3 linked regions of the Callithrix jacchus genome follow. The protein of the gene in region 3 interacts with the protein of the main gene of each other region in a pairwise test. Links are inferred from orthologs where the notes say so. Each region holds a gene or a part of one and is shown on either strand. Other genes may lie near its edges.

Evidence for each region. The genes of interacting proteins can lie anywhere in the genome.
Region 1: the proteins of STAC3 (region 3) and PPARA interact in a two-hybrid assay, tested with the Homo sapiens proteins (2 studies listed by BioGRID). The two-hybrid records come from large-scale screens. The link is inferred for Callithrix jacchus from reciprocal best matches to the Homo sapiens genes STAC3 and PPARA.
Region 2: the proteins of STAC3 (region 3) and MAB21L3 interact in binary tests that used the Homo sapiens proteins (3 or more experiments, as listed by UniProt). The two-hybrid records come from large-scale screens. The link is inferred for Callithrix jacchus from reciprocal best matches to the Homo sapiens genes STAC3 and MAB21L3.

The regions. Positions count from the first base shown.
Region 1 is NC_133502.1:213,847,378-213,857,975, forward strand, and holds the start of PPARA (peroxisome proliferator-activated receptor alpha), read right to left. Parts: upstream 6,458-10,598; 5' UTR 6,331-6,457; intron 5,095-6,330; 5' UTR 5,015-5,094; intron 1-5,014. UniProt on the Homo sapiens protein: Ligand-activated transcription factor. Key regulator of lipid metabolism. Activated by the endogenous ligand 1-palmitoyl-2-oleoyl-sn-glycerol-3-phosphocholine (16:0/18:1-GPC). Activated by oleylethanolamide, a naturally occurring lipid that regulates satiety.
Region 2 is NC_133508.1:154,115,526-154,126,123, reverse strand, and holds the start of MAB21L3 (protein mab-21-like 3), read right to left. Parts: upstream 6,227-10,598; 5' UTR 6,197-6,226; coding exon 6,149-6,196; intron 1-6,148.
Region 3 is NC_133510.1:62,456,972-62,467,040, forward strand, and holds the end of STAC3 (SH3 and cysteine-rich domain-containing protein 3), read left to right. Parts: intron 1-22; coding exon 23-120; intron 121-323; coding exon 324-396; intron 397-1,310; coding exon 1,311-1,408; intron 1,409-4,518; coding exon 4,519-4,585; intron 4,586-4,764; coding exon 4,765-4,814; intron 4,815-5,104; coding exon 5,105-5,190; intron 5,191-5,350; coding exon 5,351-5,402; intron 5,403-5,490; coding exon 5,491-5,628; intron 5,629-5,818; coding exon 5,819-5,917; 3' UTR 5,918-6,272; downstream 6,273-10,069. UniProt on the Homo sapiens protein: Required for normal excitation-contraction coupling in skeletal muscle and for normal muscle contraction in response to membrane depolarization. Required for normal Ca(2+) release from the sarcplasmic reticulum, which ultimately leads to muscle contraction.

The DNA.
Region 1 (10,598 bases), on a different chromosome or scaffold from region 3:
AAATTTCCCACCACGTTTACCATATGTGAGCCTCAAAAAAATGCAGCTTAGCTGCAAAGATAACTATAATCGGGTGAGACCCAGCAAAGAGTAAGTACTTCTCTTTTCTGTTCTTTTTTGAGACGGAGTCTCACTCTGTTGGCCAGGCTGGAGTGCGATGGTGTGGTCTCGGCTCACTGCAAGCTTCGTCTCCCAAGTTCAAGTGATTCTCCTGCCTCAGCCTCTCAAGGAGCTGGGATTACAGGAACCTGGCACCACGCCAACTAATTTTTATTTTATTTTAGTTTTAGTAGAGATGGGGTTTCACCATGTTGGTCAGACTGGTCTAGAACTCCTGACCTTGTGATCAGCCCAACTTGGCCTCCCAAAGTGATGGGAATACAGGCGTAAGCCACCGCCCCTGGCTAGTTCTTTACTTTGCAAGTGCATAAACTTTCAAGACACCATAATATCACTATTAAAATGTGCTAATTAAATATTCTAAAAGCAAAGAATGCACACGCCTCCGAGTAACGAGCAAATCCGGTCACGTCTGGAAAACGTGCCTGCACGGTGCTCCTTTCCGTAGAAGCTCAGTGCATGCAAGTGGAAAAAGAAACATGTTATTTTAAATGTGGGCCACTGGAACAGCTAAGGGTTTTCTTATTTAGTTCTTACCTTATAACCATCTTATCACCAAGTTGTAAATGTAAATTCTGTGCCTAAGTGTCCCTAACCACACAGCCTTAAAGGTGATCTGGCTTATTCTATGCAACTCATAAGGCTGAAATAACAGATATAGCACATTTCTACCCTGTAATCAGACACTATAGCTTTTCAAAAAGTATCTACAGCTGGGTGTGGTGGTTCACACCTGTAATCCCAGCATTTGGGAGGCTGAGGCAGGTGGATCACCTGAGGTCAGGAGTTTGAGACCAGCCTGGCCAACATGGTGAAACTCTGTTTCTACTAAAAATACAAAAATGAGCTGGGAGTGGTGGTGGGCACCTGTAGTCCCAGCTACTCGGGAGGCTGAGGCAGAAGAATCGCTTGAACCTGGGAGGTGGAGATTACAGTGAGCTGAGTTAGTGCCACTGCACTCTAGCCTGGGCAATAAGAGTGAAACTCTGTCTCAAAAAAAAAGAAAAGAAAAGAAAAGAAAAAGAAAAATGTACTCTATGCCAAGCTACCAAAAACAAATAAAAACAAAGACCCTCAAGTTCCAAAAAAGCAGAAATTAGACAGGCCACAGCCTCTAGCTGCAGTGTGACAAAATTAGTGCAAACATTCAACAAAAACACTGGCGACTTGGAAGTTAAGACACTCATCCTATTTGCCATTAAAACTATATCTGGCTGGGCACGGTGGCTCATGCCTGTAATCCCAGCACTTTGGGAGGCCGAGGAGGGCAGATCACGAGGTCAGGAGTTCGAAACCAGCCTGACCAACATGGTGAAATACCATTTCTACTAAAAATATAAAAATTAGCTGGGCATGGTGGCACGTGCCTGCAATCCTAGCTACGCAGGAGGCTGAGGCAGGAGAATTGCTTAAACCTGGGAGGCAGAGGTTGCAGTGAGCTGAGATTGCATCATTGCAACCCAACCTGGATGACAGAGAGAGACTCTGTCTCAAAAATAAGAAAGATATATATATATATATACATACACACACACACATTCATACACAGAAACTGAGAGAGCAAAAAAAGAGAAGAAAAATTGGCATGTTTCAAATATATTTATAATAAGGAAATAAATACTTTAATTAATGTGTGTGTATTTTTTTTTTGAAGACCACTTAGGCCAGGTGTAGTGGTCCAGGCCTATAGTCCCGGCACTATGAGAGGCCAAGGTGGGAGGATACCTTGGGCCCAGGAGTTTGAGACAAGCCTGAACAACACAGCAAGACCCAATCTCTGAAAAAAGTACAAAAATTAGCCAGGCATGGTGGCATGTGCCTGTGGTCCCAGCTGCTTGGGAGGCTGAGGTGGGCTGATCACCTGAGCCCAGCAGGTCAAGGCCGCAGAAAGCCACGATCATGCCCCTGCACTCCAGCCTAGGTGACACAGCAAGACCCTGTCTCAAAAGTAAATAAATAAATACAATTTAAGACTGCTTCAAGATGACTACATAAACATTTATTTAGTTTTTTCTTCTCACTGTGTTGCCCAGGCCAGAGTACAGTGGCGCCATCTCAACCACTGTAACCTCCACTTCCCAGGCTCAAGGAATCCTCCTACCTCAGCCTCCCAAGTAGCTGGGACCACAGGCATATGCTACTATATCTGGCTAATTTTTTGTATTTTTGGTAGTGATGGGGTTTCACCAGGTTGCCCAGGCTGGTCTTGAAGTCTTGGGCTGAAGCAATCCATCCCCTTCAGCCTCGCAAAGCGCTGGAATCACAGGCATGAGCCACACTGTGCCCAGCCTTCTTAAATAGTTATCACAAAAACACAGACTCCAAAATAGCACGAAAGAAAAAGAACACTGGTCACCAATTTCTAAAGAGTAAGATGTTCTGGGAAAAACAGATTCTTCATCCTTTACCACGATGAGGACTGTCTTTAAGTTTCTTTTTTTATATGCTAGTATGAAAATCAGTTTCCTGGATCCAGCTTGTCTTGTTCAGCACTGGGGACAGTAGCTCACAGCAGCTACTCAGTAAATATTTATAGAATGACTGCGTTAAATAAATATATACATATATGAAGAGATTGGCTACATATGATTGCATCTAAACATATGATATAGACATTTCAAATGAGTCATAAATATTTTTCACATAGAAAGATTTTTCATAACCTAAATAGTTAATAAAGCAAGTCACAAAATAGTTTACAAAGAAGACATATGTTTTCTCTTCTCTCTCTCATTCTCTCTCTCACACACATAACTTTTAAAACTCTGTTCATGAGCCAGGCGCGGTGGCTCACGCCTGTAATCCCAGCACTTTGGGAGGCTGAGGTGGGTGGATCACAAGGTCAAGAGATCGAGACCATCCTGGTCAACATGGTGAAACCCCGTCTCTACTAAAAATACAAAAATTAGCTGGGCATGGTGGCGCGTGCCTGTAATCCCAGCTACTAAGGAGGCTGAGGCAGGAGAATTGCCTGAACCCAGGAGGCGGAGGTTGCGGTGAGCCGAGATCACGCCATTGCACTCCAGCCTGGGTAACAAGAGCTCAAACTCCATCTCAAACAAAAAAAAAAACTCTGTTCATAAGTTGGACAAACAGGAGCTAGGGAAAACCACAGTGTTTGATACCTATGGCATGTCTCTCATTTTACGTCTAAGATGCCAGAAATGGGCCTGGAGCCGGGGCTTACTCCCAACACTTTTTTTTTTTTTGAGACAGAGTCTTGCTCTGTTGCCAGGCTGGAGTGCAGTGGCCCAGTCTTGGCTCATTGCAACCTCCGCCTCCCAGGTTCAAGTGATTCCCCTGGCTCAGCCTCCTGAGTAACTGCAACTACAGGTGCACGCCACCACGCTCAGCTAATTTTCATATTTTTAGTAGAGACAGGGTTTCACCGTATTGGCCAGGATTGTCTCAATCTCTTGACCTCATGATCTGGCCTCCCCAGCCTCCCAAAGTGCTGGAATTACAGGTGTGAGCCACTGCGCCCAGCCTATCTCAGCACTTTGGGAGGCTGAGGTGGGTGATTCACCTGAAGTCAAGAGTTAGAGACCAGCCTAGCCGATATGGCAAAACCCCGCGTCTAAAAATACAAAAATTAGTTGGGTGTGGTGGTGGATGCCTGTAATCCCAGCTACTCAAGAGGCTGAGGCAGCAGAAGGGCAGAGGTTGCGGTGAGCCAAGATCACGCCACTGCACTCCAACCTGGCTGACAAGAGTGAAACTCCATCTCAAAAAAAAAAAAAAAAGAAAGAAAGAGGTAAAAGAAAACATTTTTTCTACTGTCAATTAATTAATTAATTTATTTTATTTTATTTTTGTGAGACGGAGTCTTGCCCTGTCATGCAGGCTGGAGTGCAGTGTCAGAATCTCGGCTTCACCTCCCAGGCTCAAGCAGGGATTACAGGTGTCTGGCACCACATCTGGCTAATTTTTATATTTTTTTTGTAGAGATGGGGTTTCACCATGTTGGCCAGGCTGGTCTCAAACTCCCGGCCTCAAGTGGTCTTCCCACCTCAGCCTCCCAAAGTGCTGGGATTACAGGAGTGAGAGACCGTGCCTTGCTTGCCAGTGAATTTACCTTTGCTTCAGAGTTGCACAGGTCACCTTCAGCCCCTCTGTCCCTGGCCTCTCACGGATGGTGACCACACACATCCTATCGTCTGGCCTGTATCTTCAGCCCATCCCTGGCATGTTCTGTCATGGGCCTTGCCCAACAAGCCACCTGCTTAATAATCAAATCACAATGAAAACAGCTCTGTTCCAGTTGGTGTGGATGTCCCAAGTGTCTGCTAAGCACTCACATTTCTCAAAGTTAATGTTATCAAGTTTTAAATTGATAACATGAATTTAAAACATGGCTGCCATGAAGCAATGAAGTTCCTGGCAAAACTGACACCGTACCTCAGAACTTAAAAGTGAATCTTAGGCCGGGCGGGGTGGCTCATGCCTGTAATCCCAGCACTTTGGAAGGCCCAGGCAGGTACATCACCAGGTTAGGAATTCAAGATCAGCCTGGCCAACATGGTGAAACCACATCTCTACTAAAACTACAAAAATTAGCCAGGTAGGTTGGCAGGCACCTGTAATCCCAGCTACTCAGGAGGCTGAGGCAGGAGAATCACTTGAATCCGGGTGGCAGAGGTTACAGTGAGCCAAGATTGTGCCACTGCAGTCCAGCCTGGGCGACAGAGGGAGACTCCATCTCGGGAAAAAAAAAAAAAAAAAAAAAGGGAATCCATGCCCATGTATGCTACTTTCAGTCTGAAAACGTATCTAAGGTTGCATCCCGAAGTAATAATAATTAACCTCCACATTGCTGGTCTGCGGCACAACAGAAATAAACACAGCACACTTAAATACTTCCATCTGGAAACAGTAAATCAAGCTTTCTATTTACCTGTGGTGACAACTTCAGTTCTGAGCTTGTCTTGCCGCAAACTGTGTGTCCACAGAGCAGGCTGGGCCCGGAGCTTCAGCCTGGAGGAAGAAGATGGAGGAGGAAGTGATTACGCTATGTTCTCTGGATGCCCCCAACTCTCCACCACCTTGGAAAAGGAAAGTCACCCTGCCCCTGCCCCACAACCACACAGGTGTCTCACGGTCCTTCTCAGGAAAACCCGTGCCCTTGCCCTGACCCGGTTCTCCAGGGCACCCTTATCCCAAGCGGGCTGGGAGAGGAGAGGCCTCCCTGGTTTCCTGGGCGGGGGGGGGGGGGGGGGGAGTCGGTGGGGCAGCTGGGGCTGAGGTGGGCACGCAGTCCCGGAGGGTCGCATGAAGCCCGCCGGTTAGACAACTGTGGGTTTTTCTTGGAAAGAATCCTGGCACTGGGAGCACACTTCCTCTCGTTTAACTTTTAAAGCAGGCTTCAGAAACGCGCAGGCACGCAGGTGTGCCCTGGTAGTTGGGGTGGGAGACGGGGCAGAGCGGACCTTCCTGACTCCCACCGGCACCACCCAGCGCCCCTCCGGCTTCACTCGCACCACGCGGGCCGCGCAGCCCAGGACTCCGGAAAGACCTGGGAATGCCCGCGCCAGACCCGCAGCGGCCCCCACCGGGAGCGACATGGCGCGGCTTCCGCAGAGAAGCCACCCGGCCGAGAGCAGCCCGTTCGGGCTGCCGGGGGTCACCCCGCCGCGTTGGGGCACCAAGCGGGAAGCGTTCCTCTAAGGCGGTCACAGCCGGAGGAGCTAACACGCGCGTCTTGGTCCGGCGGCAGCCGCCGGGCGCACCCACCCAGGGTCGGTCAGTCCGGGCCCGGGTTTCCCTGCCTCAGGGATCCCTGGGGGTCTTGGGAAGCCACGGCGCGGAGGGATGGGCAAGCCCCGATGTCCCGCCCGAGAGCCTCCCTCCCAAGGGACAAGCCGAAGACTTAGAGTCGCTGCGGTCGCCAGACCCGACCTCCGCGCAGCGCCAAGCCCCATGGAGAGCCGTGGAGTCTACGGTTCCAGGCAGGGCCCCGGCGGTAGGAGGGAGGACGAGCAGGGCCCCGGGACCCCTTGCACGAGTCCTCGGCGTGTGTCCTCGCCCCTCGCCCTCACGTCTCCGGCCGCGCACCCTGACCCTGGATCCCCGGGCCCCCGAGACCTCGAGACCCCGGGCCCCGCGCATGCGCCGCCCAGCCCCTGCCCCTCCCCCGTCCGCCGCCGTCTGGGTCCCGGGACTGGGGAAGCCCTGCCGGCGGACCCCCGCGCGCGCCCTTCCGCCCGCGGGCACCTGGATCGCGGTCCGCCGCCTGCCAGTCCGTGGGACGAGCGCCGAAGGAGGCGGCGCCGGGCAGGGCGCTAGCGGCCGCCTCCGCCCCCGCCGCCCGCTGCCCCTGCCGCGGGGCCGCCGCGTCCACGGCCCATGCCCGGCGCCGCCTCCGCGCGTCCGTGCCAGCCGCGCCCCCGCCACACGCACCGCCCCTCGGCCCGCCCCGGTCCGCGCGGGCTCCTGTCCCCGGGCCCGACCCGGAAGCCCCGCCCGCCCCGCGCGCCCTCGGGGCGCCCGGGCTCCGGCCCCGGGACACACCCCCCGGACGGCGGCGCCCGATTGGCTGCTCGAGGGGGCGGGGCCCCGGGAACTCTCCGCTGCTCCCACCTAGTGCCTCGCGTCCGCTGCAACCAGGGGAAACTGAGGCCGAATAGGTGGAGGAGCCCTCCAAGGTCACCGCCGGGACGCCGCTGAGCGTGGGCGCCCCTGCAGCCCCGCGCACCCGATGGGGCTGAATTCGAGGAGGGGACGCGCGGCCGCAGGGAGGGTGGAGGTTCCCGCTGAGCGCCCGTGCCACGCTGGCGAGTCCCTCCTGCCTCCTCCGGGAGCTGGGCTCCGCCGTTCGGTGCAATGAGCGGGTCTAGATCCGGGACCGGGTGCCCTTGAGCCTCCAAAGTGCGTGGGGTGGTAGGCAGGCCGGGAAGGACCTTGTCCCTGGAACCCTAGGATGCAAAATAAGGGGAAGGGGAAGGCGAGCTGGGAGGACGAGGAAACAGGTGGCAGGAGGTGCCAGGGTGGTGTGGCGGGCGGGGGAACGAGGAGGGTGAAGGGCAACGCGGACGGGCTCGGGGAGGAGCCGCTAGCTCCGATCCCACATTCCCACCCATCTCCAGTGGCCCGAGAGCCATGCGCGCCCCCTACTCCGTGCCCGGGGGGGTGATGAGGGGCTGACTTTGTGCCCACGCAAGGCGCTGGGACTCTGCCAGCGCAGGGAGAGGTCGCGGCCCGGCGGCCAATGGCGAGGAGTAGGAGAGCGCCCTGCAAAGCCGCTTTGTTCGCGCTGTGACGCCCGAGCTCTCTGCGCGGAATGCACAAAGCCCCTGGGTGCCGGCACATCAGGGCGCCCCTCCTCGGGAACGAAATGTGTGCTATGCCAGCCCCACTGCCAGCTGCGCCTGCCACTGTGCTATTTGTGGTCCCAGGAGGACCCACTCCGGAAAGGAAACGCAAATCTCATTAGGCTGGGGAACTGCAGACCAGGCAGGAACTGGCCCTTGCACAGACTTCCCTTAAACTCACCCTTGTTGATTAGCCAGGCAACTATGGTGAACTTTGCCCCACCCTCCAGACCCTCCCACGTATCCTTCCCGCTGGCACATGGCAGGCTCAGCTTTTCTTGCACATGCTAGCCACCAATAGCACAGATTCATGTTGTGTTTCAGAGTTTACAGTGTGATCCATACAGTTAATATCCTGGATATCTCGTGGGATGTGCCAGCAGCCACATCAAAGCTTGTCACCCTGTTGTGCTTGGTGAGGGAAGCTGACCCTCGGCTGCCCATGCAGAGCTCAGGGGCTACATCCTCATGAGGACCTCTGGCCTCAAGGACATTATGTGGCATAACCACATCCCAGGCTCTCAAGAACCAGGGTCCACACAACTGTGTTGGCTTCTTTTCCCAGATGCAACATCCAGGTCAACCAGGTGTTGAAAGACCTGGTGTATCTTGTCATGAACAAGGACAAAGGCTGAGTGGGGCTCTGAAGAGTGGCCATGAACACTCAGCGGACACAGAAAAGACGACATTCCTGGGTTCTTGGGGCTCCCAAGGTTTTAGGAAGAAAAAACTTAGTTTTCATCCATGTGTCCCAGAAATAAGCATTTTCAATCAAATGCTCTCAGCCAGTCTCCCGCAGACGTCCTGGGGTAGAAGCGAGTTCAGGACTCTTGGGAGCATCCTGGCCAGAAACAGCCCCTATCTAATGCCTCCCGGGGCTGGTAGGTTTCTTTTGGGAAACCAGGCTCACATGAGAGAGGTGAAACAATTTTCTGTTGGCCACGAAGACCTTGTCACACACCCAGCATGGGAGCAACTGTCACAAAGGGCACACCCCACCCCCATCCCCAGCTCAGGAAGCCTCTCTTTACCTTCTTCAGTGCTGTTGAAATGAGGGCCACACGACAGAACAGAAACGCCACTGGTGCAGGGACTGAGTAGAAATCTATACTTGGAGGACAAATCAGTGCTCTTGAAAATGTCTCTGAGCATGCCCTGAGTTTCCTCTCTGGAGCCTAGTGACTACAGGGAGCACCTGTCTGGTGCACAGGGATCTCAGTTCATAGCTTCCATTTATGTGGTGACAATGCTGTCTCAGGTCCCTTTTGACATTTTCTGGTCTTGAAGACGTTCTGAGGGTAATTCTTATTGTGCCCACATTACGAGAAGGAACCTGAGGCACAGAGTGGCCCCATCTGCACTGGGTCCCCCAGGCCAGTGGCAGGGCACAGGACAGAAGGCAGGTCTGTAAAGCCCATGGCTGCCCTGCTAAGCCTCTCACTCCTGCAAGTGCTGACCTGCCAGTCAGCCAGAGAAGCCCAGCCTCTCCCACGGTCTCAGGAAAACGATTGGGAAGCTGGGAATTCAGAGGGGAAGGGGTTGCTGGAGAAGGCAACCTGGAGTGGTAGGGCTTGGCCACTCAGTAGCAGGCAGCACTTAGACCCTGAGTGCTAGGAGCAGGTGATGACAGTCATCTGTGTTTAGGGACCCAAGTGCTTTCCCTGATCCTGCCAGGGTGAAGCTTCCCCCATGGGCCTGGGGTCTAGGCTGCAGTCTGTTTGCGATCCAGGGCCTGCAAAGGTTGCTGCTGACTTGCCCTCTGCTGGTGTGCAAATCCCTCTGTCAAAGGGATGTGTGCTTCCAGGATGGCATCCACCAGGGCAGTGGCCTCTGAGCTCCTGGAAGCACGCCTGCAGGTCAGGTGGTGGAAGTCCACCAGGGCAGAGGCTGTGGGCCGAGAAAGGGAGGGCTCATTGTCAGCGAGCAGGGAGCTGCTTGGTGACCCGAGGCTGGACCTCGTTGGTGAGAGCCAACCTGGGTATGTCCTTGGTTGCCCTCCTGGTACTGACAGCAAACCCCTATGGGTCCAAGGTAATGAAGGAGTGTCACACTAGGGCACAGAACCCACAAGAGTCTCATAAGGTGGCTGTGCCTACGCCATCTTACAGATGAGGAATGAAGGGCCAGGAAAGGCAGCACGTGGCCAAGGTCCCCAGCAGGGAGTGAGAACTCTCCCGAGTCCCAGTCCATCAGCACCTGGTCTTGGGTACTCCTGGGATCCAGCTGCCTGGGGCAGAAGCTGTCTGCTGACTGACATGGCAGACTCCGGAAGTCTCAGGAGTCTAGGGTCAATGACAGGATTTCCCTGGTAGCTGGTCCTGGCCTGACAGCTCCAGGCGGGTGGCAGCAGCATGTGCAGAAGCCTGTGGCAGGAGAGAGGGGCCATGTTCAATGGGAAACAGTGTGGAGATGGCACAAGAAGGGCAGAGCTGGGTAGGGCCCTGGCCAGGCAGGTCTTACGGCCGGTGGGGAGTTAGGCTGTGGTCATAAGGGCTGCAGGACACCTGCAATGGAGGATTGTCAGCAGGAGCGTGACTCCATCAGCTTAGCACCGAGTGCTGCGTGCTGCATGCTACACGTTAACCAGTGGTCACCGCTGGAGTGGGGAGGGGCTTAAGCTGTGCATGTATTCTAACTTCGCAGGTTCTGGAAGCTTCTGCAGGCCCAGGAACTGCTGCTGCCATGACCCTCTACCCTTTGATAATTAAGCGGTCTCCAGCTTTGCAGCAGGCCCCATTCGACATGGCTCAGATGTCTCTCTGTCGATCTTGAGAAGGCCAGGGCAGCCCACCTGCAGCTGCACTGCCTCCCCTCTTCGCCCCTCCAAAGGGACAGGTGCCCCCTCATCACACAGGATCCAGCTCCAGGGCATGGACAGGAAACTGTGAGACCCCTGACTGTCGTTCTAGGTGCTGTGAGAGTCTCACTGCAAAGTGTGACATATGGATAGACAAATTTTCTTTTCCTTTTCTTTTCTTTCTTTCCTTCTTTCTTCTTTCTTTCTATCTCTCTCTCTCTCTCTTTTTTGTTTTTGAGATGGAGTCTTGCTCTGCACTTGCTGGAGTGCAATGGGGAAATCTTGGCTCATTGTGACCTCCACCTCCCGGGTTCAAGCGATTCTCCTGCCTCAGCCTCCTGACTAGCTAGGATTACAGGTGCCTACCACCACAA
Region 2 (10,598 bases), on a different chromosome or scaffold from region 3:
TCAAGAGATCGAGACCATCCTGGCCAACATGATGAAACCCCATCTCTACTAAAAATACAAAAATTAGCTGGGTGTGGTGGTGCATGCCTGTAGTCCCAGCTACTTGGGAGGCTGAGGCAGGAGAATTGCTTGAACCTGGGAGGTGGAGGTTGCAGTGAGCCGAGATTGCACCACTGCACCCCAGCCTGGTGACAGAGCAAGACTCCGTCGCCAAAAAAAAAAAAAAGGAAAATACAGGAATAAGGCCAGGCGCGGTGGCTCATGACTGTAATCCCAGCACTCTGGGAGGCCAAGGTGGGTGGATCACCTGAGGTCAGGAGTTCAAGACCAGCCTGACCAACATGGTGAAACCTGGTCTTTATATTAAAAAAAAGAAAAGAAGAAAAAAAAGAAAATACAGGAATATATGTAAATATAATATCATAATATATTATATATAATATGATATTTAATATCAATATCATAATATATAGTATTATACCTGATATTACATTATATACACACAGACACAAATGTATGTATGTATATATGTGTATTTCTGTATGATACACGCTTTCATAGATATGTGTGTGTAGGTGCGTATGTGTGTGTATGTATAATATAATATCAGGTATGATAAGTCCCATGAAGAAAAATAAAATATGATAAGGGACTAGAGAATAAAGTGGCAGCTATTTTAGTTAGGGTGGACAATGGACAAAGAAGACTTCTCTAAGGAGGTGGCATTTGAGCGAGGATGAGGACAGCTTGGGAGAGCAGATTCCATGCTCCTTCTCTGAAGTAGACAATTCTCTAAGGTTAGCAGCGAGGCCACTGTGGATAGATCCGGCAAACGGAAAGTGACAGGAGGTGAGTTTGGAGAGGAAGGCAGGGGCCAGGTCATCACACAGGGCTTTGTAACCCATGGCGAGACTCTACCATGGTACTGTCACGCCTGCTGCCCCGGGTGTGAATATTTCTTAACATGCATCAGCACTCAGCAGCTTGCTTCCTACCGATGTCGTCAGTAAATGATGGTTCTCTTTGTCTCTGTACTCACCCCTGTGTTTTGCTTCTAGACCCTTAAGAAAAGGTATGCATTTATGTTTCTGCTGACAGAGGGTCACCACAGTGAGTTACCAAGAACTGGGAAATTCTCTTAGAAAACTGAACACTAATCAGATACTTTAGGTTTAGGGAAATAGATGTTTGTGGGAAACACAAAGGAACTTTTAGTAAACTCCAGGAGAGACACAGGAAAATCCAAATGAGAGACAGAAGGGTCAGCAAGTTTCTTCTGAAATGGAGGGGGCTCTTTGTCATTTGCTCGGGAGGCACCTGCCAGCGGTCATGACAAGACTCTCCTTCAGAGGCTCCTTCAGCCAGTAACCAGTTTTAAGCAATATCTGATGCCCATCCATGAATCTCTGAACTATGGTATAATGGCTGTTTCTACATATTCTAGAGTCATTCTGAGACACCCATAAACTGATCACCACAGCCAGAAAAAAAGCCCAAGTCAGAGATTCCTGTTTTCCTAGATTAAGTCATCAACTGGGCCACCTGAGATCTCACTCATACTTCCCATCAACCAGGAAGCCAACTTCACATGTACATAGAATAAGAAGGTGACTGTGCACCTATTTGTACACATGTTGTGTAGCACATGTAGCGTCAGTTCACCAGTAAGTATCTGTTGAACGCGTGCTCTGTGGTGGGCACCGTTCAATGCTGGAACACAGCAAGGCACAAAATAGACGCAGCCATGCATTGACAATAGTGAGGAAGACAAATATAGGTACAGAATACAGGTGTGGGGCTGCTATTATGGAAAAAATAACACATCACAAATAAAGCTTTTGGAAGCCCAGAATGAAGTCGCCTCTCCAGCGCAGGACTTCCGCTTTGTGTCGTGATTCAATCTTATTTGAGTAATTTTAGCGGAATATCTATTTTATGCTGGGCTCTGTGTACACATGTTGCCACAAGGTTTCTAGATAACTTGACAAAGCAGGACAAATAAACTGGAAATTAACATCACTGCACTCCAGTGCAAGGTAGAGGTTTGCACAGATGCTATGGATACACAGACACTTCATCCAGTGTGGAGGTTGGGAGGCCTCCCTGGAGGCACAGTGTGTTGGGATTGTATCTTGAAAGCTTAGTAGGAGTCCGCCAGGAAGAAAGGAGCAAGAAGGTTGCTCCACAAGGGAAAACAATTGCACAGGCATGAGCAGCACAAAGAGAGACTCTGTGTTTCTCAGGCCTGTGCAATTGTTCCTGTGATATTTTTAGAATATAATCACCTTAGAGGAGGTGGTGAAGTGGGAGAATAAACAGTGAGAGGTCTCAAAAGTAGAGGAAGAGTTTCAAGAACAAAGTCAACAGTAAGTGGCCGAGTGAGTCAAGGCCCCACATGTCCATGGAGTCTGACAGCTCGAATATGACTGCTGTGCTGGGGGAATGCTGGGCACCAGCACTGATGGTGGGGGAGAAGTGGGCATCAAGCGGTGGATTAAGGCTGAGTGGAAGACACACGTGAAGGCAGAGGTGAGCAACTCCTCCAAGAACTTTTACTTGGGGGGAAAACCAAAACAGCAGGGATGTGAACGGCTTTTCCTTGTTTGTTTTGGTTTGCAAAATGATACACAGGCTTAAACATTTTTAAATGCTGAGAGAAAAGAGTCAGTGGTGAGAGAAGAGAGAGCAAAACCATTTTGTAAGGATTTCCCACCCGAAAGGAGTCATGCACATCCAGAAACCTGAGTGAGGAATTCATCTTGGTGTGGCAGGAGGAAAGAAGGGGAAGAGGGCACAGAATTTCACTCTTGTTGCCCAAGCTGGAGTACAGTGGCACATCTTGGCACACAGCAACCTCTGCCCCCCAAGTTAAAGTGATTCTCCTGCCTCAGCCTCCCAATAACTGGGATTATATGTGCCCTCTATCATGCCTGGCTAATTTTTTGTATTTTAAGTAGAGACAGCGTTTTATTATGTCGGCCAGGCTGGTCTCGAACTCCTGACCTCAAGTGATCCGCCTGCCTCGACTTCCCAAAGTGCTGGGATTGCAGGCATGAGCCACCACGCCCAGCCAAACTGTACCCTCATTTGATGGTGAAATTCTTACCAGGCAGGACAGGATCACACACTCCTGGAAAACAAGTATAATCTCTCACTTGCTACACAGGTTATTAGGTCACCCTTACGACCTGTTTTGATTGCCAAAGGTGAAAGTGAGAATAAGAGAATGCTTTCTGAGACCTAGAGTCACAAATTCCAGTTTTCATTTTCTTCCTCCATCACTTCCGTTGCAATTTAGACTCAGGATCTTAGAAATGGACGAGACCTCAGAAACTGCCTTGTCTGGTGTGACTTCACGGAGGACCAGCGTGGCAGGCGGCTTTCCTAACATCACACCAGCAGTAGAGGTAGAACTAGACGGGCTCTCCAACTCTTCTTTCCATCACACTTGGCCACACCCTCAAGTACTGATGTACCAGAAGTACCGCCTACCCCTCATCCTCTTCCTCAACCTAAAAATGCCTTCAATTTAAAGTCAAGACTCATGAAACGAGGAGTCCTAAGTCTCCGTGTATTTGGGCATCAGCAACTGTTCTGGCTTCTCACAAGCACAAAGGGTCATGCAGGGGCCAGAAAGCGAAGCCCCTGCTGTGGGACCTGAGTGGAAGCCTCTTTCTCACTAGGTGATGGGCAGCGCCGCCCCTCGCCACGTCTCTGGCCACACTTCCTGCAGTAAGTTCTTCCCCACACAGCATCACTGCGCTATTTGGTGGCCCAGAAGTGACTGGTGCTGGGGGTTTCCAGGCTTAGTCCCAGACACCTCTTGTCACCCTCATGGTGTGACAACACAGACTCCCCAGACTGTTTCTCTCCACTTATCCTGGCCACACCCTAGGCAGATACAGCGAGAAGTTCATTTTAGGGTGTGGAAAAGCAGGCAGTGGGGCTTGGCAGCCTTGAGGCAGCCTTGTCGCCAAACCTAGTTCATGGCAAAACACGGAAACAGATTTTGTCTGGGCCTCACTCTTTCCAGGCATGTCCCCCGCTCTTGCAGGACCATGTCCCACCCCGGGCCCCTTTCCCTGCCTCCTCCTTAACCACAGCATCCGGCTCATTGTTGCCCCACAAGTCACTTGTATTACTAGCTCAGGTTCATGAACACGGCTGCTGTTAATAGCTCGTTTGCGAATAATTTACTGTTTCAGATATAAACTCTGGGAACTCAAGGTGATTCCTTATAATAATACCACTCTGACTCACTCACATTCCGATACACTTCCTTGCGAGAGAGACAGAGTGGCGGTGCTAAGCTGCATGCCAGGAATGGCACACAGGTCATACCCATGAGCAGGCAGCCGATGTGTATATCATTCCCGACGAGTGTTACTGGGAAGAAAAGACTGAGAACTTCCTTCCAGAAAACAAGAAGTCAGACCTTTCATTCTGGAATTGCGTGGAATCCAATCATCAGCTAAAAGAATTTCAACCAAACAAAACAGGTATCATCTCCTTTCAGAGGCTAATAATTTAGAGAGATGGAAAGTTAAATCCAGTGATAGATACACATGAGAAAATAGGCTTTCCACCGTCATATCCCTTCCTTTTTAGACTAATTCTTCCATGAATCAAGTGCTTGGGCCACACGGAATATTTGCAACCCCCAAACGTAGCAGAAGCTACAACAGCAGCAGCACTGTATAGAGCTGAGATTATTGAGTCTTTCCTGTGAATAGGGCCTTTTATACACAGGCTCATTCGTGCCTACCCATAATTCTTTAAGGTGGATGCTATGATTATCCCCATTTTATAGATGAGGAAACCAAAGTTCAGAACGTTTAAGTAATTCTCCCAGGTTCCCAGAGTTAGTCAGTTACAGAACACAGGTAGCATCCTTCCAAAACCTGTATTTGTAACCACTGCACTGTCCTGCCTCTAAAAGAGAAAGGTGACCGGGAATGAAACACACCTTGACTGTTTGAATGGGGCTCCCTTAGTCCTGAAGACCTTTCCTATACTTCTCCACTTATGAAAACCCTACACTTCGTCCAAGGCTTTGCCTCCACTCTTCTTTCTGTCAGACACCTTTCCCATCAGACCTAATGCATCTCTTCTCCTCTAGCAATCTGTTGAAATCTCTACTGCATCCCTTACGGTCCGCCGTGCAATATATCAAGGGGCAGGAGCTGGATTCAACGCGGTGAGCACTGTTTAGGATTTCTGCTATTGGAAATGCAGGGGGAGCAGAGGGTAGAAAGAGCACTCGAAGTTACTCGAACACTATGCTAAAGATTTTGGAATTTTTTCTTACAAAAAATACAGGACCCATGGAAAAAAATACCAGCTGGTGTCTCTACCATTTAGAGTCCTCAAAGGGAGGAATAATGGGATATCACTTTGTTTATTATAGTTTTACCATCCCAGGTTTTCCTTATTTATCTCTCTTAATGATTCTGCCTAAGAAATACACTTTCTTATCACTATGATAAGGATCTTTGCTTTGTGTACTTGTAAAGGCATGAAAACTGCAGACTAGCTCCTACTTCCTAGTCAATTTAACTATTTTGGTTTTAACATTAACATCCTGCCTTATAGCTTCATCCGTAAAGGAAAAGGCTTAAACCGGATAATATTTAAGACACCTTCAAGTTCTAACATTTTTTGACAGCCTATGACCATCTAGAAGAAATTAAATTCTTAACTAATATGTACTAAAAATATGGTAATATTTTAAAACCTAGTAGTTTCACAGTTTTTAAAAAGCTTTGTTTTCATTTCATTTGCTCTTTTTCCAAGACCCCGTGAAGTTCCTATTATTATTCCCATTTTACAAAGAAGAAGGTCAAGGCTCAGGCAGATGAAGTGACTCGTGACCACACGAGTGGCAGTGGCAGAGCTGGAGCTCCCCCCATCCCCCAGATTCCAACTCTCCGTTCTATATTCTATACCAAGCATGTCTCTAGGAACTGAACCCTCAAAGAGAAGACTGAAATATGTGAAGTCCCCAAACATTGTTATGGGTGACAGTCTGTCTTCTGAGGAGCATTTTATGTGTATTTAGAAACAGCTTGAGATCCTTTCTGGATCAAGGTTTGGTTGGGAGCAGCGTGAATGGGGAGGGGTGCATGGGAGAGACCGGGTCTGTCCTTACCTTATTCAGCAGGCAATCTTCTAAGTCTCCCACGGTAAGGGATTTCATGGCTTCTTGGTCAATCCTGAGTAGTACAGCAACTTCCTGGTTTTCTTTTTTTCCTCAATGGAGTACAACACTCATGAGTAGATAGCACTCCCAGTAATGTGAGTCTTGGTACTGAATTTTTCCAGAAATGTGTAATGGACCAGAGACTTTCCCTCCAAACCGTTCACTCAAGTTTTTATTTCCAAATTGTGAAAATCCATCTGTCATCGTTTGGGAAATTAAAAAAAAAAAAGAATTTAAAAAGAAGGGTTGATAAAATTGAATTTAAGTCCAACCTAATTATACCTTATTTAGCTATATTGACTGGTTCTTTGACCAGAGAGCAATTTTCCAAATTGTATTTCCCACCCAAGTACTTAAAAGTTCCATCCAAGTTAGAAATACCCTGCATGTAGTTGGCTTCTCCCACCTTTTATGCTCCTGTCCCGACACTAGATGCACCTGGAACTCAGTATCTTATATCTCCTCGTCCTTATCTTGTTGACAGTAAATACCGCTTGCTCTCCAATCCAGAAAATCCCCCAGATTGATTTACTTTCTTTACAATCAACAAATAAACGGCTGAACAACCAGCCTGGGACCCATCATTATGCCCACAAAGAAGTGATCAGGTCTTGTCAACCACAGCAGAGCACAACGGTTGGCATTTGGAAAAGCATGCACACACGTACACACAGGCACACACGTACACACAGGCACACACGTACACACAGGCACACACGTACACACAGGCACACACAGGCAGAGGGCACACAGGCGCGCACACACACACACAGGAATGGCCGGTCAGGAATCCTTCTGCTCACCTGCTGACCTTTAAAGGTAACTTCCCTCTTCCAACTTGAAAGCTGGCAGTAAAAATAAAGTCAGTATAAACAGGTCCCTTGAGAGGCGAGGGAACACTCACGTCTGGTTTTGCCAGCAAAACTTACGTTGGAAAACAGCTCAGGCAGTAAATTCCCAGTTGGGCTGGCTGGGGCTAGTTTTACTACAGAAGAAAAAAGAATTTCCCAATGGTCTGATCTCCTTGAAGCTGGTAAACATCACGGGAGTCTGCTATCAGATGATCTAAAGAAATGACAGCCCTCCTGGGAGCATTGCTGACTTTTGAGCAATGTTGCAAAGGCAGGTGCTTCCGAGCCCACCTGGAAGTGCTGCCTGCAAAGCCACGCCACTGTCTGGGCCCCGGAATTTGCATATCTTCCCATACTCTGCCCCAAGCAAAAGCCAAATCACAGTTCTCTAGCTGCTCTGTGCCCCACCCACGGTATGAGTCCCAGCTCTCAGTACAGCTTCTACAGAATCTCCTGCCATTGCAGAGCCTGATACAAAACTGTAAACTACATCCTCCAATGAGGGGTGCTCTGATAGCACCCCTCAAAACAGCCTTGATTTTCCATTTGCTTCTATATGTAATTCTAAATCTCCTTCTTTTTATATCAAGTACTTCCAAGTTTTTCAAAATCTTATTCCTTGGGCTTCTCTTATTATAGTAGCCCCAAACTCCTTTTTAAAGAGTGAGCAAGATCCTCTTTCTCTGAACGTGCGATTTAGTATTCTCTCTCTACCTCATCTTCAACATCGCCAAAGTCCCACTCTTTCTCCCATGTGCTCATTTTTGTCGTGACTTCTGTTTTCACCGTAATCATTAACTTGTGAGTCACTTTCCTATGGTGGGGTACTCCCTAATGTCCAGGGGTTACCGCAGACATCTGTCATCATTTTTGCCCCTGTGGCTGCCCTATCTCGATCGCTCTAGAACTTCAGCTGATCAAAATGTTATAACTGGAATCTTCTCTTGCCAGTGACAATTGCCAGATGTGAGCAACCAGCAGGGCAAGTGAGCGGCTGGGAAATGAAGACACAATCATGTGCTCAGGGAAGCTACCAGAGTCTGATTTTACCAGGGTGCCGTATCCAGGGAATAGCTGTGTTGTGGGAGCAAAGCCTAGTTCCCTACTCAGTGATACAGCTCCTCATGGGCAAATGCTCTGAAGTACAGGGCAGTCCCACAAATACAGACTCTCTGACAGCTCCTGTCTGACAGATTGATGAAGACAAGCTTTCTTTTTAGATGTAGCTCTCTGGGTAACTGAGTAAAGGATCCGCAACAAGGGATTGAATCACAGTAAGCCTAAGGCGCCTGTAGGCCAGGCCACTGAGGAGATTCAAAGTTAGCTCAGGTTCTCTTCCTTCCGTGGAAAATAAATATCCTCATTTCTCATGACTCACACCAAATGCAAGTATGGAAAAGTAAACCTGTTCGGCTCAGTTTCTATGGTGAAGAGTAAGAACTTATTTTTAAAAGTCGGGTTAACAAGGTATTCAAAACCCTATGCTGTCAGTGTGAGAAGTCTCAGGGAGATCATGCCAGCCCTGGATTACCAGCACAAGTGTTTGTTACTGATTTACTTAGTGTCTGAGATTTTAATTTCAAGAAGGAAGAAGGTTAGCTTGATCCAAATCAACCTGAAATATGCAAATTTGTTAAAGTTTGCCAGGGTTACAAACTCTGACTTTTTAAAAGATTTCCGGTATGACTCAGATTAAATCTGACAATGCAGAAGACCAGACAGAGATAATCACCTGTGATGGGATGCAGTCCACAGCAGTGAACAACTCGAGGCAGGGGCCTTGTCTATTCCATGTCTCCAGAGAAGCTTCAGCACCTAACACACAACTGGCCCTCATTAAGTGTTAATGCTTATCTGCTTATGTTAAACATTATGCAAAATAACATTATTTATTAGAACGTCACTAGTGTGACATTTATTAGAATGCCATGAATGTGATATTATAATAAATAAAATATAGTATTTTAAGATGTATAAAATCACCTGACAAATTATACGTTTAATTATATGCACGCATCTGTGACTCCTATCTTCTTTTACAGAAAGGCTTGATTAAAAAAAAAACTTAGCGTAGTACTTGGCACATGATAAGACCTCAAAAAATATTTGTCTTTATACTCCATTTCACTCCCTGAGGAAAAAGATCCTTTTTTGTAGGGATGTTTAGTTTTTTTTTTTTTTTTTTTTTGAGACAGAGTCTCACTCCGTCGCCAGGTGCCAGACTGGCGCGATCTCGGCTCACTGCAACCTCCACCTCCTGGGTTCAGGCAATTCCCCTGCCTCAGCCTCCTGAGTAGCTGGGATTACAGGCATGCGCCACCGTGCCCAGCTAATTTTTTGTATTTTTAGTAGAGATGGGATTTCACCATGTTGGACAGGATGGTTTCGATCTCTTGACCTTGTGATCCACCCGCCTCAACCTCCCAAAGTGCTGGGATTATAGGCATGAGCCACCGCGCCCGGCCTTGTTTTGTTTTTTAATTGTTATTTCCATAGTTTTTGGCATACAAGTGGTTTCTGATTGCATGGATGAATTATGTGGTGGTAAAGTCTGAGATTTTGGTGCACTCATCACCCAAGTAGTGTACAGTGCACGCAATATGTAGTTTTTTATTCCTTAGTTCCCTCCCGCCTCCCCCTTCTGAGTATCCAAAATCCATTATGCCACGTTGTATGTCTTGGGATACCCATAGCTTAGCTCCCACTTATAAATAAGGAGATAAGGGGTTTTTCTGTTCCTAACTTCACTTAACAGTGGCCTCCAGGTCCATCCAAATTGCTGTAAAAGACATAATTTAATTATTTTTGATGGCTGAGTAGTATTCCATGGTGTACATGTACCACATTTTCTTTATCCGTTCATTGGTCCATGGATACTTAGGTTGGTTGCATAGGAAAGATCCTTCTTTTACTGCATGTCAGTAATTCTCCTGGTCTGACCTGGTGGGTAGGATTGTTCACTGGGTTGGTCTTCACAGTTCCACCAAAAAGTGGGTCTTCTTTCCTTTCACACATGACATGGTAATCGAGATAGTTTGAACTTGATCTTTGGTCTGGGTTCAAAGGTAGGAAGTCCCAAATGAAAATGATAGGTCAGGTGGGTAATAAATCAGAATAGAGTGGAACAATGGAAAGGGGTGGGGTCTGTGGTGGATGCGAGAGTATATATCTTACCTGGGATATTCTAACTTGTTGGGGTGATTTGTTTATCTTTTTTCTTTCTTTTTCTTTTGAGAGGGAGTCTCGCTCTGTTGCCCAGGCTGGAGTGCAGTGGTACAATCTCGGCTCACTGCAACCTCCACCTCCTGGGTTCAAGCAATTCTCCTGTCTCAGCCTCCTGAGTAGCTGGGATTACAGGCATGTGCCACCATGCCTGGCTCATTTTTATATTTTTAGTAGAGACGTGGTTTCACCATGCTGGTCAGGCTGGCCTTGAACTCCTGCCCTTGTGATCTGCCTCCCAAAGTGCTGGGATTACAGGTGTTAGCCATCGTGTATGGCCTGTTTATCAACACTGTACTATGCACAAGATTCACCCCTGCACTCTG
Region 3 (10,069 bases):
AATTTTCTCCCCCTCTCCCAAGTCAATAACAAGTTTGGGCTTCGCTGTAAGAACTGCAAAACCAACATCCATGAACACTGTCAGTCCTATGTGGAAATGCAGAGATGCTTTGGCAAGATCGTGAGTAGGCTCCGGGGAACAAGGTGTAGAAAGGTGGGGCCGTATCACCAGCTACCCCTTGCTGGTCCCTCCTCCATCCCATTCATTTCTCTTTTTCTTTCTTAGCCCATCTCTTTTTCTGAGAAAGGATGACCACTTATGAGAGAGATGGGCTTCTAGCCTACCTTGCTACCTCTAATGATTCCTCCTATTCCACCCTACAGCCACCTGGTTTCCGTCGGGCCTATAGTTCCCCACTCTACAGCAATCAGCAGTATGCTTGTGTCAAAGATCTCTGTAAGTGCCCTTTATGGAACATGAGGGAATGGGCAAGCCTACAGATGGTTTCATGCCATCTCTTTTTTTTTTTTTTTTAAGTGAACAGCTCCTTGCTATAAGTGTCATGCCATCTCTAGCTTTGGAAGCCAAATTCTGAAACAGAAACTTTCTATTTCCCATCATTCTCCCTCAACCTAATATTTTTATATTTATTTGGATCCAGAGGCCATATCCCCATTTTACAGCAGAGGGAGATAGGATTTAGTTGCAGCTACATCAGTTAGCAAGCGGTAGAGCCAAGACTGGAATCTCCAGTTGCTAGCTTCAAAATCTGTGCTCTTCATGTGCAAAATCATTTCTAAGCAAGAACAAGGATTCTAGACTGTCCTCATCCTTACTACAGAGTCATACCAGACTCGGGGCAAAGCCCAAAGGCTGTGGACACCCTGGGCAGGTTCATAATTTGGCAACCTTAAAAGCATATTCATTGACAATTTGCTCAACATTTATTTGGAGGAGAGGCTTAACTCTGAGGAGCATGGGTGAAAAAGAAGAACCTGTTGGTGGTAGCTCCTCAGCTTAGACATGCCATTCAGCAGTGCAAAAGTCAGCAGTTAAGAGGCCATTCTGCTTAGAAGGAGAATAGTGATTCTGAGCATGTCTCAACCCCAAGCAACCAAAGTTCTCTTTCCAACGTCACATAATGCTCTGCCTGGAAGGAGTTCTGATAAATACTTTTCTCCCTCACATTATCAGTGATGTTTTTAGAGCCCTTTATAGATTGGTGACCTAGGTATTGCCCAGCAGACCCTTCCCTAATCTTCCCCTGTGGCACCCCCACTCCCACACACATCTGCTCAATCCCACCCCTTCCTTAAGAGATCTTTCTCTGTCTCCCCAATAATGTCTTCTTTCTCCTCCCATTCCATTAGCTGCTGCCAGTCGCAATGACCCTGTGTTTGAAACCCTGCGCACTGGGGTGATCATGGCAAACAAGGAACGGAAGAAAGGACAGGCAGATAAGAAAAATGTGAGCACTGTACCTCCCCATTGAGGTCCCTCCCAGAGAATCCACAGAGCAGGTCATTTTTCCATTTGGAAACCTGACAGAAGCAATGGATCATCTTCCCCTAAAATTGCACATAACCCGGCCGGGCACAGTGGCTCATGCCTATAATCCCAGCACTTTGGGAGGCCAAGGCAGGCAGATCACAAGGTCAGGAGATTGAGATCATCCTGGCCAATGTGATGAAACCCTGTCTCTATTAAAAATACAAAAGTGTAGCCAAACATGGTGGTGTGTGCCTGTAATCCCAGCTACTCGGGAGGCTGAGGCAGGAGAATCACATGAACCTGGGAGGCGGAGGTTGCAGTGAGCTGAGATCATGTCACTGCACTCCAGCCTGGGTAACAGAGTGAGACTCTATCTCAAAACAAAAAGCCAGGTGCAGTGGCTCACGCCTGTAATCCCAGCACTTTGGGAAGCCGAGGCGGGCAGATTACCTGAGGTCAGGAGTTTGAAACCAGTCTGGCCAACATGGTGAAACCTTGTCTCTACTAAAAATACAAAAATTAGGCATGGTGTCACCCGCCTGTAATCCCCGCTACTTGGGAGGCTGAGGCAGGAGAATTGCTTGAGCCCAGGAGATGGAGGTTGCAGTGAGCCAAGATCATGCCACCACCCTAGCCTGGTCAACAGAGCAAGACTCTGTCTCAAAAAAAAAAAATAATAATAATAGCATATAACCCAACAGACACACTTTAGCATGCATTTTAGAGGGTTTCAGGACCTGCTGCAGCTCACTCCAGGCCTCTGGTTAAGAACTCCAGCCATAGATTATATTTTCTCAGCTCCCTTCTGAAATTGTCAGATTAGCCACCACAACCATCTGAGGGCTAGGCCCAAGGTCCTTGGTATTGCTGGGTAATGGAGGCAAGAGCTGTGCTTTTGGATGTAGGGAAGAGAACTTTTCATACCAAGTAACTGGAGAATTCTAGAGCCATGCAAGGGTACATGAAGATCATCATCTGGTTTGACCCATTCATTTTACAGATGATAAAACTGAGGCACAAATCTACTGGCCAAGAGAAGCCTCATTTCCTTATGCAATAGGGTTACTAGGTTGGTAATGCCATAGACTTGCGTTCAGTTCAGCAAGGAATTTGTTAGAATATTCTTCTATCTTTCTGGACAACCAGGGTGGACTGGTATGGATGACGGTTACAGCTAGATGGACTCCTAAAATTGAGTGGCATTACCCAGAGTCCAGGTTCTTTCAGGAGTATACAGCTAGAGGGAGATTTCTGATGCCTTATAACATGATTTAGATATAATCAAGATACAAATTGTATATTCATCCTGGGTGCGGTGGCTCACGCCTGTAATCCCAGCACTTTGGGAGGCCGAGGTGGGCGGATTATCTGAGGTTAATCATGAAACCCCATCTTGGCCGGGCGCAGTGGCTCACACCTGTGATCCCAGCACTTTGGGAGGCCAAGGCGGGCGCATCACGAGGTCAAGAGATTGAGACCATCCTGGCCATGGTGAAACCCCGTCTCTACTAAAAATACAAAAATTAGCTGGGCGTGGTGGCACGCGCCTGTGGTCCCAGCTACTCGGGAGGCTGAGGCGGAAGAATCACTTGAACCCAGGTGGAGGTTGCAGTGAACCGAGATTGCGCCACTGCACTCCAGCCTGGCGCAAGAGTAAGACTCTGTCTCAAAAAAAAAGAAAAGAAAAGAAACCCCATCTTACTAAAAATACAAAAAAACTTAGCTGGGCTTGGTGGCACTTGCCTGTAATCCCAGCTATTTGAAGGCTGAGGCAGGAGATTCACTTGAACCTGGGAGGCGGAGGTTGCAGTGAGCTGAGATCCAGCCTTGGAGACAAAGCGAGACCCTGTCTCCAAAAAAAAAAAAAAAAAAGGAAGAAAGAAAGAAGAGAAAAATGTACATATTTGTTCTTTATCAAAAAAACTGCAAAAAACAGAACTAGAAATCTAGGCTCAGAGTTGTTGATATGGAGGTTAGGCACAGGATAAGGAATTTCTATGGAGTGAATTATGACTTATAAGGCACTAGCAGTGTGATTTGGCTGCCTCCAGAAGGGCTAACATATTCTTGGGTTATATATATATATATATATATATATTTTTTTGTGACAGAGTCTCGCTCTCTCGCCCAGGCTGGAGTGCCGTGGCACAATGCAATTTTAGCATTCAATTTTAGAGGGTTTAGGGACCTGCTGCCGCTCCCCGTGTGCCTCTGGTTAAGAACTCCAGCCATAGATTGTTTTCTCAGCTCACTACAACCTCTGCCTCCTGGGTTCTCCTGCCTCAACCTCCTGAGTAGCTGGGATTACAGGTGCATGCTATCACACCCAGATAATTTTTTGTATTTTTAGTAGAGACGGGGTTTCACCATATTAGCCAGATGGTCTTGATCTCCTGACCTCGTGATCCACCCACCTCCGCCTCCCAAAGAGCTGGGATTACAGGTGTGAGCCACCACGCCCCGCCCCTGGGTTATATTCTAAGGGAATTATTATAAAAATTGTGCTATTATTTTTTTGAAGATGGAGTCTTGCTCTTGTTGCCCAGGCTGGAGTGCAATGGTATGGATCCAACTCACTGCAACCTCCCCCTCCTGGGTTCAAGCAAATCTCCTGCCTCAGCCTCCCGAGTACCTGGGATTACAGGCATGCACCGCCCGGCTAATTTTGTATTTTTAGTAGAAATGAGGTTTCTCCATGTTGGTCAGACTGTTCTTGAACTCCTAACCTCAGGTGATCCACCCCTGCCTTGGCCTCCCAAAGTGCTGGGGTTACAGGCGTGAGCCACCGCATCTGGCCATGCTGCTCATCTTTACTTACACACTGGAGTATTTTTAAAGGTTGACAGCATAGTCAAGGACCTGGAGTCTGGTAGTGAATTCCCTGTCATTTAGCTACATTCAAGCAGAATGTGGGTGACCCACCTGCCAGGATGTTTTAGAGGAAGGCAGGTGGCTAGACTAGCTATTTCCTCCAAGGCCTCTTCCAACCCTGAGATCCCATTATTCTATAGTTATCTGACCTGATTAGAGAGCGCTAGTGCATGGATTCCCAAGACAGTGTCTCCCTAACTCTGGTGCCCCCTCCAGCCTCTAGCAGCCATGATGGAGGAGGAGCCAGAGTCTGCCAGACCAGAGGAAGGCAAACCCCAGGATGGTGAGTGTCACCCACCTCCATCCAGAGATGGAGTAGGATCAGAGGCTCAGCTGTCGAACAGAGGGTGGAGGAGCAAAGGGCAGGCCAGCTTTGGATAGATGAGGCCCTTCCACAGAAGGGTAAAAGAGTAAGAACTGCCCTCCAGGAGACAGACAATTTGTTGGTGTTTCCTATCCCAGGAAACCCTGAAGGGGATAAGAAGGCTGAAAAGAAGACACCTGATGACAAAGTGAGAATCCTTCCTCCCTACAAGGACCCTGTCCTCTCCTCAACCCAGGTCTGACACCACCACTCATGGTCCAGCAGAAGCTCACTCTTTAACTCCTAGACTTCCCATCACCCTTGACCCACTCGCTCTATCACCTTGCACACCCACCAACAACCAAAAAACTCCTCTCAGTTCAGGGAACTAGAAGAGAGTTGGAGTGCAGAGTGTGTGGTGAATGCCCCTGCCTTGGAATCCTGCCCCTCAGTGTGGGGTAGAGGAGCCCAAGACTCATCATTCCCTTTCACCCCCAGCACAAGCATCCTGGCTTCCAGCAGTCTCATTACTTTGTGGCTCTCTATCGATTCAAAGCCCTGGAAAAGGACGATCTGGATTTCCCGTGAGAGGCCTTGGGGCAGGGGGCTGGTACTGTGGAGTGAAAGGGAAAGAGCTGGATTCCCCCAAGGAAAAGGGAGAGGGTGACTCAGGGCTTGGAGACTTGATCCAGGGTACAGGAGGGGACCTGCTATGTGAGTGAGGCCCTTCCCTTCCCCTCCCAGGCCGGGAGAGAAGATCACAGTCATTGATGACTCCAATGAAGAATGGTGGCGGGTGAGAGAAATGGCTAGGGCTAGGGTGGAGTGTGGGTTGAGTCCAGAACCCAAGATTGAGAGAGGACTCTCCCGACTATCTTCGCTAGGGGAAAATCGGGGAGAAGGTCGGATTTTTCCCTCCAAACTTCATCATTCGGGTTCGGGCTGGAGAACGTGTGCACCGCGTGACGAGATCCTTCGTGGGGAACCGAGAGATAGGGCAGATCACTCTTAAGAAGGACCAGGTAGGCTGTTGCCCCAGGTTAATGCCCCAGGCTAATCCAAGGCCTGAATGCCCCCTAGCCCACCACACTACTTGGAGAGCTTAACCATTAATGAGACTAGGGTAAGCCCCTGTAACCCCGGGCTCCCCTGCTGTCCTTTCCTACCGTTTCCTTTGATTCTTCTCCTACTTCTGATCCTTTAATCCTCTAGATAGTGGTACAGAAAGGAGACGAGGCTGGCGGCTATGTCAAGGTCTACACCGGCCGCAAGGTGGGGCTGTTTCCTACCGACTTTCTGGAGGAGATTTAGGCTTGCGGGCGCCCGCAGGCGGGAGACACCCACACCCATTCTGGGCGGGCCCAGTGGAATTTGGGGAGGGGGCGAAAGCAACAGGACTGCTGGGTAGATAGGAAGGCCTGCCTGAGCATGACAGGGCTTCTGGGAAGGGACTGGTTCTCGCCCCCTTCCCCAGCCTGGGGCCTCGGACACCTGCTGCCCAGAGCAGCCCGCACCTGAAACCTTTCGGGCCCCGCTTGCAAGAGCTGGAAGACAACGCATATCCACCAGGAGGAGCGAGGGACTTGGGGAGGAGGAGGGCAGGGGCGGGGGTGCGTGAACTGTCGAATGTTGCAAATTTATTAAAGTTTTGACAAAACGTAGAAAAGTTGTTCTTTAACTGGGGTTGAGAAGGCCTGCAGAGGGGTGGAGAATACCCCTCTGGATCATCCCTAACCCGAGATCCATCTGGGCTGAGGTTGACGGGAGGTGGGAAGACAGATGCAGCTGCCAGGCGAGGCCTCTGTTGTCAGTGAAGAAAGGGGAGCGCGGGACCCCCGCGCCCCAGAGGCTGGGAGCAGGATCTTGTAGTAGGGTAAGTCCCCCTTGTTCTTGGCGTTTTCGCCACGGGCAACCCCTTGCATTTCGGAATCTGGCTTGGAGCCCGAGCTAGGCCGCCAGGGGGCGATACAAGATCTCGGTTGGAGAGCGAGGGATGGGGAGGGGTGGAGGGTGGGTAAGGGGAGAGAACTGGAGACACCAAGCCCGAGACCCTGGGCCTGGGAGGGGGTGGGGTGCGTGCTGTCTCCATGGTAACACTTCCTCAAGTCCTCGGGGAACCGAGCTAGCGAGGCCAGGGGCCTAACCCTTCCCGTGCGGCCCCTGCCCTAACCCTTTCCGACAGGTACTGAGTGAGGACGCAGGGCAGACAGCTTCCTGGCTCTCACGAAGACACCCCTGCGGAGCGCCGTATGCAAATGTTATTATTTGCATATGCAAATATGCAAATATGCCGGCCCTGGTCAGGGCGGCAGGTGGCAAGGAGCAGGAAGGTGTGGGGAAGGGAGCAGAAGGAGAAGAGGAGTTTGGGGACCTGGGAGCGGACCCAGTGAGAGGCAGGCTGGGGTGATCACTGGAGTGGGACAGGCGGGGGGGGGGGGGGGGGAAGGAGGGCGGGGCGGGAGGTTCTTGAGCTCGATGGAGGGTGGGGGAGGGTCGGCTTGGCCAGCCAGGAACTCCTCTTCTCGTCTCCCCGTTGTCTGCCAGGACTGAGGTTGGCACCGCCTAGCAAGGTTGGCAGCGGGAGCCCGGGCACCATCTGCTGCTGGTGGGGGGAGGGCAGAGGCTCAGCTGGGCTGGAGAAGAGGAGGGCCTGGGACCGGTGCGCCCCCCCTTCTAGAAGGCTGAGGTGTGATGGGGGTAGGGAAGCACACTAGAAGACTCTGCAGAACCAGGTTCAGTTTTCTGCTCCCTTTGCCCTTGACGGTCCCGGATGCCTGAGGGGTGGAGGTGGTGTCATTAAAGAAGACCCCCCTTTAATCGCAATTGAGCTGGAACAGTAGATCACAGGCACACACACGCACACCAGCCACACACAAATCAAGCCTTCTGCACTCATCCTTCCTTGAAATCCACCTACCATGAATGTATGAGGGGAGGGTCCGAGAGGGTTCGGGTCGTCTCTATTCATCAAGGTCTGAGGTTCTCAAAACCAGAGCTCCCCCCACCCATGCTAAAGTAAAACCAATTTACTGGCTCATTGGGCGGCAATGCTGGTGTGCGGATGCCGAGAAGCAGGGAGAGCGGCTGTTCTCCCCCTACACTGGGGGGCGGCCCCCTCCCTAGCCTCACTGAGCCGGCAGCTGTCCCTAATTAGAGCGGCGGTTTAATTGGATTTATCAGCAGTTAATAGGAAATTAAGCAAAGGGCCCGAGAGAAGGGGGGCGGGAGGAGCGGGGAAACAAGCTGTGCTGAGCTCGAAGGAGGGATGCTGGGGTGCCAGGGGTGGGGACAAGTGGTCCATGGTCACACCCTCCCCTCTCAGTACTAATCCTGACTGTTAGCCTTGGCCCGTGGGTGGGCAGGAAAGCAGGTCCCCAGAAAGGGCTGTGGGAGTGACAGTGACCCTGTGTGAGCGCCCAACGCCCTCCATCCCCTTAAGCGGCGCCTGGGTGATGGATGATACTGCCGCACTCTGCAAAGGTCATAAGTCTGGGCCAAGGAGCAGACTGAATTGAAAATAGATCTGAGGAAGGCCAGTACTGGGGTGCAAGACACAACCCGCACCCCAACCTCCTTCACTGCCCACTCCACTCAAAACGCGCGCACACACACACACGCACACAGCGCTCCTTGAAGTCGGAATACGGGGGCAGCACGAGGGTAGGGTGGGGAGAAGGCAGGATACAGAGTGACCCTCTCTATAACCCCCACCAGCAGGCGTGTTGGGGATCCTAAGAATCTCCTGGTGCAGCTCCAACATTCGCTTTTTGCCCCCCCGCTTCCACAAACTGCCCGATTGGGGTCATTGGGGTTCATCGGGTCTGCTGCTCAGGGCCGGCCCAACATCAGCACCACCCGCCTTTAGGGGCCAGTCAAGGAAGCTTGCAGGCAGCTAAGCCTGGACGCATGGGCTTCCTAGTCACAGCCCCAGGCGCCTCCTGTCACCAAGACCTCATTATACTGCTAGGCTAACAAGGCCTGCTTCGGAGACCCTGAAGACCTCCCTGCCACATTTCACCCCGCAGAGCACAGATGGTAACTCTTGCATATGCTAAGGTGTGCCAGCCTGAGTGGGTGTGGGTGGTCTCTCCGTGCCGCTGGCAATTATGGGCACCTGTATCCCCAGAGTGTGGTCTGTGTGTGTCCACTTGTTTCTGGGTGTGTGTGGTGTGTCTACGTGAGCCCCAGGTGTGTCCAAATCTGTGCCGGGTGTGTGTCTGTTCCCCTGAGTCTATGTCTGTCAGGTTTGTCCACTTCCCGCTCCCCGGCTCCCATCTGGGCAATTTTGCCCGGTGCCTCCACGCGGGGGCGTTTCCGTGCATCTCCGCCTACAGGTTTCTATGTGTGAAAATCAGGAAGAGCCAGCGGGGAGTCTGTGTTGCTCTCGCGTCTCCGCCTGCAGGTATATGTGTCTCGGTGACAGTGCGTGGGCGTGTGCCTGGGTGTGAGCCGCGCGGCGGCGTGTATCCGAATGACAGTGTGACGCACGTGTGCGCGCGTGTGGGTGCACGCGCACGCTGGGATGAGTCTTCCGCCCCCCACTCCTTCCTTTCCCCATTCCTATTCCTCTCTTCTCTCCGGGTCGGCTCGGCTTCGCCGTCCGCATCATCTCCATCCATTATTGAAGAAACAGCCGCGTCCGCTCCAATCACATCAACACCCCCGCCCCCTCCCCGTTCCGCTCGCCCCTCAGCCCCTCTGGGTGCTGAGGAGAGGGAAAGCCAAGACGCGGTGGGGGCGCCGGGTGGGAATGGGCTTATGACCCTGTGCCTCAAGCCGGGCCAGGCGCCGGGATTCTGGGGTTCCCGGAGGAGAGCGCTTTGCATAAACAGATGGCGGGCTGTCTTTGTCTTGCTCGCTTGCTCACCGGCTCCGCTTCTGTCTGGCTGATGCAATCATGATCATCTCGGAGCCTCGGAACCCGGCGCCCTTAATAACGGCAGAGGGGGTCAGGGGCCCCAGGGCTCCCAAGCAGATGCTGGGCTCTGTGTCTTTTCTCCCGGGCGCCCCTCCACATCCCACAGCAGCAACGGGAAGGCCAACGCCACTCGGAGGTGACGGCAGGTGGAGGTGACCAGGAGGAGAACCCCGGGCAGTGCCCTGAGGTGTCCCCGGGCTGCCTCGTTGGACTGGTGCAGTCCCCAGAGGCAGCAACCCAGAGAATAGGAATATAGCTGGGGAATGGGGTAGGGGAGAGACAGAGACAGCGAGTCATTAGTAAAGAGAGACACAGTGAGATGGAGAGATGTGGAGGGAGGAAGCGAGACACAGAGAGACACAGAGAAACCGATGCAAAGGGACAAAGCCAGGTAGGGAAAGCAGCAAGAGGGAGAGCAGACACAGCCAGAATGCTAAGGAAGAGAGCGACGAACATACCCAGAGAGGGAGCAGGCAGACAGACCGCCCGAAGAGGCAGAAAGAAGGGCAGCCAGGGTCTAGGACAGGCCGGATCAGCGGGCAATC